Cricetulus griseus: one gene and its partner. The protein of the gene in region 1 interacts with the protein of each later gene in a biochemical or structural test. Links are inferred from orthologs where the notes say so. Each region holds a gene or a part of one and is shown in the gene's direction. Other genes may lie near its edges.

Evidence for each region.
Region 2: the proteins of Anxa7 (region 1) and Sri interact in a biophysical measurement, tested with the Homo sapiens proteins (2 studies listed by BioGRID and IntAct, with this or other methods). The link is inferred for Cricetulus griseus from reciprocal best matches to the Homo sapiens genes ANXA7 and SRI.

The regions. Positions count from the first base shown.
Region 1 is NW_023276807.1:200,519,247-200,523,061, forward strand, and holds part of Anxa7 (annexin A7), read left to right. Parts: intron 1-333; coding exon 334-436; intron 437-589; coding exon 590-684; intron 685-3,134; coding exon 3,135-3,248; intron 3,249-3,433; coding exon 3,434-3,604; intron 3,605-3,815. UniProt on the Homo sapiens protein: Calcium/phospholipid-binding protein which promotes membrane fusion and is involved in exocytosis.
Region 2 is NW_023276806.1:186,791,708-186,795,985, forward strand, and holds the start of Sri (sorcin), read left to right. Parts: upstream 1-1,459; 5' UTR 1,460-1,481; coding exon 1,482-1,532; intron 1,533-2,498; coding exon 2,499-2,585; intron 2,586-4,278. UniProt on the Homo sapiens protein: Calcium-binding protein that modulates excitation-contraction coupling in the heart. Contributes to calcium homeostasis in the heart sarcoplasmic reticulum. Modulates the activity of RYR2 calcium channels.

The DNA.
Region 1 (3,815 bases):
ATAATGCCATTTTTTCTTATCTTCAAATCAAACATTATTATTCATCTCTGATTGTCTGAGAAGTCAATCTCTTACCTCCCCCTTTCTGTCAAAAAGGAAGCTAAGGCATAAGAAGGTTATGACTTTAGCTTCACAATTTACCCATGTCTCATGGAAGTTTTGTGTGTGGCTCTCTGTTAGTAGGAGACAAATAATGTTTGGAAGGGGGCTATGTCTGTCACTTCAAAATGAGGCCTGGTAATAAATGCTCATAGTCCTGCATACATATGTCTGGGTGAAGTCTTCAGTTCGACTTATTGTCCAAGCAGAACTTTATACTTCTTTTGTTATCAGCCTGCTGCGATGACTCAGGGCACCCAAGGGACAATCCGAGCAGCCTCCAACTTTGATGCTATGAGAGATGCAGAAATTCTCCGCAAAGCAATGAAGGGATTTGGTAAGGAGAATGCATTGTCTTTTCCTAACTGTAAAGAAAGTGAGGCTGTGTGATAAACGAAGTCCTGTGTCAACTTGCACCTCAGTTTTATCTGGTACCTACTGCCTTAGAAGCATTCTCATCCTTATATAAATATGTCTATGAATCTTCCAGGGACAGATGAGCAAGCAATTGTGGATGTTGTGTCCAGCCGTTCCAATGACCAGAGGCAACAAATTAAAACAGCTTTTAAGACCATGTATGGCAAGGTATGTCTTTTCCCTTTTAGTGAGAAGCGGCTGGGTCTGTTCTATAGGGTCTGTGTCCATGTCAGAATGGGCACTATATTTTTACTAATACTGTGGAGAAAAGGACAGATAAATGGACTTCACAGACTCCAGGGTTAGCAGTCCCTCACCTCTCCTCATATGCGTCTTGTGTGTGCTAGTCATTCAGGAAACAATGGATATGGCCCCCACAAGATCTGCTCCTTACTTAGTCCCTGTTTCTTCTTCCCCATTGGTCACCTTCCACCCTCTAATTTCTGCTGAACGTGCCCTATGGTATAATTAAATGGAGTTGGTCTTTTATGCTTCTGTGTGCTTGTTTCCTCTTTTTGAGTGACAAACATCAAGTTGACCAAAAAAAAAAAAAAAAAAAAAAAACTAGACACCTGCTGAGTCCTGTTTTTTTTTTCTTAAGGTTAATTATGCAACACAAAACTCAGAATTCTTGTAAAGCTTGGAGTGTGTGAATTATAAGTGCACACTTATAATTCCAGTACTTAAGTGGCTGAGACAGTGGGATAATCAGGAATTCAGGGTCAGCCTGGCCTACATAGTGAGACCCTGTTTCAAAAAAAAAGAAAGAAAGAAAATAATACATAGATAATTGTACTACTGAGAACCTTAGCTCTGTTCTTGTGTGTGGTCCATTTTCTTACCTTAATAACTTTCTCCTTCCCCTCTGCCTGTTTTTTTGTTTGTTTGTTTTTTTTGTTTTGTTTTGTTTTGTTTTTTGTCTTGTTTTTTTGAGACAGGGTTTCTTTATGTAGCCTTGGCTGTCCTGGAACTCACTCTGTAGACCAGGCTGGCCTCAAATTCGAAGAGATCCTCTTACCTCTGCCTTCTAGGTGCTGGGATTAAAGGTATGAATCACCACCATCCAGCTCATTTTCCTATATTCTAAAAGCTTTCTTTGAGAATGTCACCTGGTCTTTGTTTCTGTGTTGGTTATTTGGTGCTTGTCTTAGTTACTTTTCTATTGCTGTGAAGAGACACCATGACCAAGGCATCTTATAGAAGAGATTATTGGGGCTTACAGTTTCAGAGGGTGAGTCCATGTCCATCCTGGTGGGGAACATGGCAGCAAGCAGGCAGGCAGGCCTGGTGCTGGAGCAGTGGCTGAGATCTCACAGCTTATCTGAAAGTTGGAGGCAAAAAGACAGCAAAACTGAGCCTGGTTTTGAAACTTCAAAGCCTACCCTCAGTGACACAGCTCCTTCCATAAGGCCACATTTACTAATCCTTCCCAAACAGTTCCGCCAACTGAGGATGAAGCATTCAAATATATGAACCTATGGGAACCATTCTCATTCAAACCACTATAGTGCTAGAGTACAGTTTGCTTTGTATTATCTTTTTAGATGTTTATCTTTCCAATGAGATCAAGATGATAGTGATTTCTATTTCTTTATAGAACCAAAAATAGTTCCTTACACTAAGTAAATATCTGCTTGTCATTGTTTAAATATTCATTTATTTTGTGCAGGTGAGTGTATACATGTGTGCGTGTGTGTACACATGCCATCATACATGTATGGAGATGAGCAGTCAGTTCTCTCCTTCCACCATATAGGTTCCAAGGGTTGTACTCTGACTGTATACTTAGCAAATATCTTTTACCTACTCAGAATCTCATTAGTCTTCATTTTGTTGCTTTGGAATATTATTTTTCTAATCATACTTTCTGTCTTTGTATCTCGTATAATAGAAGACCTGTATCAAGGATTTAAGTGTTTATAGACACAATGACTTTATCACCAAATTTAACAGATTTACTCATTCTCAGGATTTATGTGTTTCTAGACACAATGAATTCATCACTGAATTTAATACTCATTGCTTAGTATATCACATTCAGTTTTGAAATTTTGACTTTCATAGTGGCAGTTCCATTTCATTTTTCCATAAGATCCAAGTGAGGCTGAACAGGTGGCTCAATGGTTAAGAGCATTGGCTGCTCTTCCGGAGGACCTAGGTTCTGTGCCTTGTACCCACACAGTGACTCACCACCCTATGTAACTCCAGTTCTGGCAGATCCAGTGCCTACTTCTGACCTCCACAGGCACTGCAGGCATGTATTGGTGCTCAGACATATATGTAGGCAAGACACCTATACACATAAAATAAAAATTAAGGAAAAAATGTCATGTGAGATAAGATATAGAAACCCTGTGTATTAGCTGGGCAGTGGTGGTACACACCTTTAGTTCCAGCACTTGGGAGGCAGAGGCAGGCAGATCTACAGAGCAAGCTGTTTCAGGATAACCAGAGCTACACAGAGCAACCCTGTTTCTAAAATGAAAGAGAGAGAGGAGAGAGAGAGAGAGAGAGAGAGAGAGAGAGAGAGAGAGAGAGAGAGAGAGAGAGAGAGAGAGAGAGAGAGGAGAGAGAGATCTTATGTACTTAATACTTAATTTTCTTATGTTATTAAACAGGATTTAATTAAAGATCTCAAGTCAGAGTTGAGTGGAAATATGGAAGAATTGATCCTTGCCCTGTTCATGCCTTCTACATACTATGATGCCTGGAGTTTAAGGAAAGCAATGCAGGTACTCTATCTTATTTTCTATGATTATTCTGTATTGCTTAATATATTAAGCCTCACAAATTTTGATAGTTTTGAATTTTCAATGATGGATGAGGCAAAATATTGTGTCATCTGAAATGTAGCTTAATTATCTTCAGAGACCTCCCTTTGCTTCTGTGTAATTCCCCCTCCCTTCATTTCATATAGGGAGCAGGAACTCAAGAACGTGTATTGATAGAGATTTTATGCACAAGAACAAATCAAGAAATTCGAGACATTGTTAGATGTTATCAATCAGAGTTTGGACGAGACCTTGAGAAGGACATTAAGTCAGATACCTCAGGACATTTTGAACGTCTCCTCGTGTCCATGTGCCAGGTGAGTGTAGTATAAATGTATATGTTAGTGGAGGGAACATGCGTTTGTACCTGAGCATTTGCCAGTCCGCATACTTCACTAATAGTCAGCTCCCTGAATACTGCTGTTCGTTGGTAAGAGGAACAGCACAGAATGCAGTGAACAGATTTCTTTGTATTTATTAATGAGACTTAGTTCTGTACATCTGACTTTTGTAAGGAATAAGAAAGTA
Region 2 (4,278 bases), on another chromosome or scaffold:
TGTTGGCAATCGTTGTCAGAGTTTCATTTACAGCACTCCATTAAAGTTCACTTCTTAAGGGAAAGGGAGTAAGACTCTAATGACTCTAAATGTAACTATTAGCATAGTCAGTTGTCCATAAAACTAATCCTGCATCAGTTAGAAACATTTTATTAGGGACACATTGTTTGCTTGCTTGCTTTTCAAAGTTGAGTCCTGAAAGAGCTTAAACTAAATGCTAGTTCAGCCCTGATCATCTCGCTGATTAAAGTTCTGAAACACAGGACGTCTAGTCCACCTGGACTGACTACCAAAGTACTTGAAAACTAATTTTATCTCCAGAATCAGACAGGAAAGCCACACGTCATGTTTTTATTATGTGACAATAAGGAGTATTAGAATTTTTCTCACTACTCAGAACTTCTGTTTTTGGAGTTCATGTTATCCAAAAAGGGGATTTGAGGGAAGTCATCCGGTGGTTCAAACCGTGGATTCACACTATGGTCAATCCTGTCCATTAGAGTGTTTCTCAAAACGGTAAAATCAGAAGAACAGGCAGGCACGATGACTCAGCGGGAGGCTGAGGCCACAAGTTCTGGGCTAGCCTGAGAGCCTGGTCCACAGAGGGAAAGATTAAGACCAACAGAAACCCAGCGTTTAATCCTTAACTGTCAAGGGCGAACCTACGATTTTTCTCTTGTTTCATTTATACCAAAAAGCGAAAACGAAAACTGTGAAACGTTTCCTGAACAACCCAAGTGAGTTACACATCCTTTCCAGTAAGTAATGTTCACCTGAACAGTGTTTCTATTTGAATCATCCAGAAAAATACATCAATTTTCTGCGAATGATCTGGGTGAGGCGGTCCTGCCCAGAAAATGTCCCCTTTGCCTACCCCACTCCACCCACTTAGCAATCACACCAGCTACACCCAGCTTAACAGTTGGCGAAGAAACACGTCACCCTGGTTCTAAGCTAAACGCCCCCTTGCACAGTACTGAAGTTTTCATCCTGTTTTCAAAGGTGTTTTTCTATTTTGACTTTAAAGTGTCTCCTTCACCCATTGGAGGTGCTCTTCAACCTTTCCCTAACAATAGTGCACAGCGCTCTTACACCACCCGCCCTGTCCAACAACCGTGTAAAATAACAAATGTACCACAAAACAGCACAGTAGGAAGAAGGAAAAGGAAAAAAAAAAAAAAAAAATCCTGGGGGCGGTGCGTTGATGTCGGAATGTGCCACTAGGCCGGGAGGGAGAACGAGTGCCGGTGTGAACCCCGTCTGGGGCCCTGGGTCATGCCGCGACAGGGTCGCGCGGGGCGCTGGCACAGCACGGAAGGCCGCAGAGAGCCGGCAGCGCGCGGGGTGGCGCAGGACGGTCCCGGGTGGGTGGCGGCGGCGGGTGCCGCCCCCCGTGGGGCGGTGTGGTGCGCTCCAGGGCGGCTCCGGACGGCAGGGAGGGCGGAGTAGCAGAGGTACAGGGCAGAGGCGTAGTCTTCACCATGGCGTATCCCGGGCACCCTGGCGCCGGCGGCGGGTACTACCCAGGCGGGGTAAGTGCAGAGCTCGGGTACCGCAGCCTCGCTCCTCCCCGGGCGAGAGGGCACCAGGGACGCGCGGGAGGAGGCGCTGCGAGCGGATCCTAGATCCAGATGCTCCGCGCTCTCGCCCGGTCCCTGCTGTGCAGACTCGGCCCCAATCCATTCTTCAGCCCTCTGTCTTCCTAGGGACTCTCCTCGGCCAACGGGTGTGTGAGCTGCGACTCCGGAAGCCCACTCGGTGACTTCACCGAGCAAGTTGTGCGTTCACTCTCTCTCTCTCTCTCTCTCTCTCTCTCTCTCTCTCTCTCTCTCTCTCTCTCTCTCTCTCTCTCTCTCTTATGCCCCCAAAGCGACAACAGCCATATTGATCTAAAATGGTCTTGTTGTCACTCACTTGAAAAGAAAGTGACAGGGAGTCCAAAAAGTCCTGAGAAATGAACAGGGGTCCTAGAGGAAGGGCACCTCGCCAGGTGTTAGGGATGTACTGTCAGAGACTGAAGGACCCTCGTCTCAGATACAGCGGGGCCATCTCCCTTCCTCCTCCCAGAGCACACCTGTCAACCCTGTACCAATTCCGACCTTACCTAGTACTGCAAGTGCTTTTAAAACTTCGTAAAAGCTGTTTAAAGCAACAGGAAAATAGTCCCGAGCCTTGCGTGCTGCTAAATTGTTTGCCTCGGTTACATTCACCTCTGCAACCCCCTACTTAATAGAGATTTTTAAGTGACTTCGCATATTGTGGCATCACTTTCGTGGAGACTTATTTTGGACCAAATCGCCAGCTTTTAAATGTGGATGGAGCGGGAGTGGAAGAGCAGGGTGGGTCGCTGCCCTTGTGTGTGAGGTCATGGGGGGGAGATGCTGTGAAGTCCATACAGGCAGGCAGACAGCAATTGCCTCTGCTGTGCTGTGCGCCAAAGCCTTGCGGGTGAAAGAACAAACTGGAATCTGTTCTGATGCTTCTCCACTTCCTTCTAACAGTATGGAGGAGCTCCTGGAGGGCCTTCGTTCCCCGGACAAACTCAGGATCCGCTCTATGGTTACTTCGCTGCTGTGGCTGGACAGGTTAGCCCTTTCTGTACAATACTGAAGAATCGTTTTATCTCTTGGTGTCATCGTTTAGTGCATGGCATCTAAAAGCGCTTACCTCATCCTGGAACTGAATCCCTTTGCCTGGGCAAAAGAAGGAAAAAAGAACAGAAAACTAAAACATTCTTACTTCAATCCTGAACAAAGTTGGACAGAGAATACCTGTATTCGTGCTAGATCAGTTCAAATCGAAATTTGTGATTGGAACTAGGGGTTCGATTGACCCAAAAGGGGATTGTAAATATACTTCGAAGGTCTATGAAGTAGAAAGATGCCTTTAGAACTGTATTATCAAGATAGAGCAAGGGTTGCTTACAGAGAAGAAGTTCAAGTTCTAAACGTAAAACCTCTGTTTGTCCAACCTAAAGGCCTGTATTAGATTAGTAATTCTGTAGCCCAATTATGATGGACACCTACTTTCAGTTGGATTTGATAATTAGTCATTTACCCCCTTAGGAGTTAAAGAGCCGCTGGCGTCCAGGCACTAGAATTACTGTCTGTATTTGGAAGGTGACCTCTACCCCTGCTGTAGATGGTCTTCCTCTGCTAGCTTTTGTATGTCCTTATTAGGTATTATGGCCTGCTGACCCTGAGAAAGAATTCAGGTCACAGAGTGACAAGTCCTAAGTCCCACCTCCCTCCCTTAGAGTTATAGGACAGTCTGTGGCAGCTATGAGGAAGGACACTTGCCCAGCTTGCAAGGTCATTCTGTGTTTGGTAAATGTACTGTTGAGTAACCCAACATATCCAGAGGGGATATTTATCCCTGCTTATTCACCTTAGACTGGTTTTAACAACAAGAGCCAGAAAGAAGGAAATCAAGATTTAAAAGGAAAAGAAAAAAAGATGCTGTAGATAAACCCTCGGGTCACCTTTGGAAGTGGTACTCTAAGAAACAGCGTTGAGAATTTGAATGGAAAATTGAGTCAAAGACTGGGAGACTTTCCTCTCAAGTATCTACTTAATCTGTTATTGATCTGTGTCTTTGAAACCGCAAGACATAGCACACCTCAAGACTAGCATTCTTAGATTGCTGGTGTCTCTGGCATGTAAGTGACCCGCCTACTTGGCTTTCAGCAGCCCTGGCCTCTATTCCACACATTCATCATTAATAATTTCAAATTATTGTTCCTTATTTATAACGGTGGATCTCGCCATCTTGGATTTATGTATTTTATTTAAAATCCCTGAGAGAGAGAGAGAGAGAGAGAGAGAGAGAGAGAGAGAGAGAGAGAGAAACAGACCTAGTTTTGACCTCAATCAGCCAATAAGAAGGTCTAGGAAGCTACCATGTATCTTCTACATTTAATTGTGCTCAGAAAACAGTGTCCTAAGTCTTAAGTTCATCCAAGAGCTTCTTGCTCCTTGGACCAGGCCTTGTATTTACTGATGCCTGAAAGATCTGCTGTACACTTTACTTTCTCTCTCAAAATGGGGGTGAGGGATATGTTTTTAAACAATTCCAAAGCTAATTGTATCTTAAAATGATTACTTTTGGTAGTTTCTTGGCTCAAACTGATTGGAGACTGTTTGCCATAACAAATATTCTCTCATCAAATTCCTTTTGGAATTAGGGTAAGGAGAAGAGTATCCAATTTTGAAAGGCATTCCTTTAAAAATGCTAGATATCCCTTTCTCTTGTCCTTGTCACTTAAGAACTTAAAAGTAT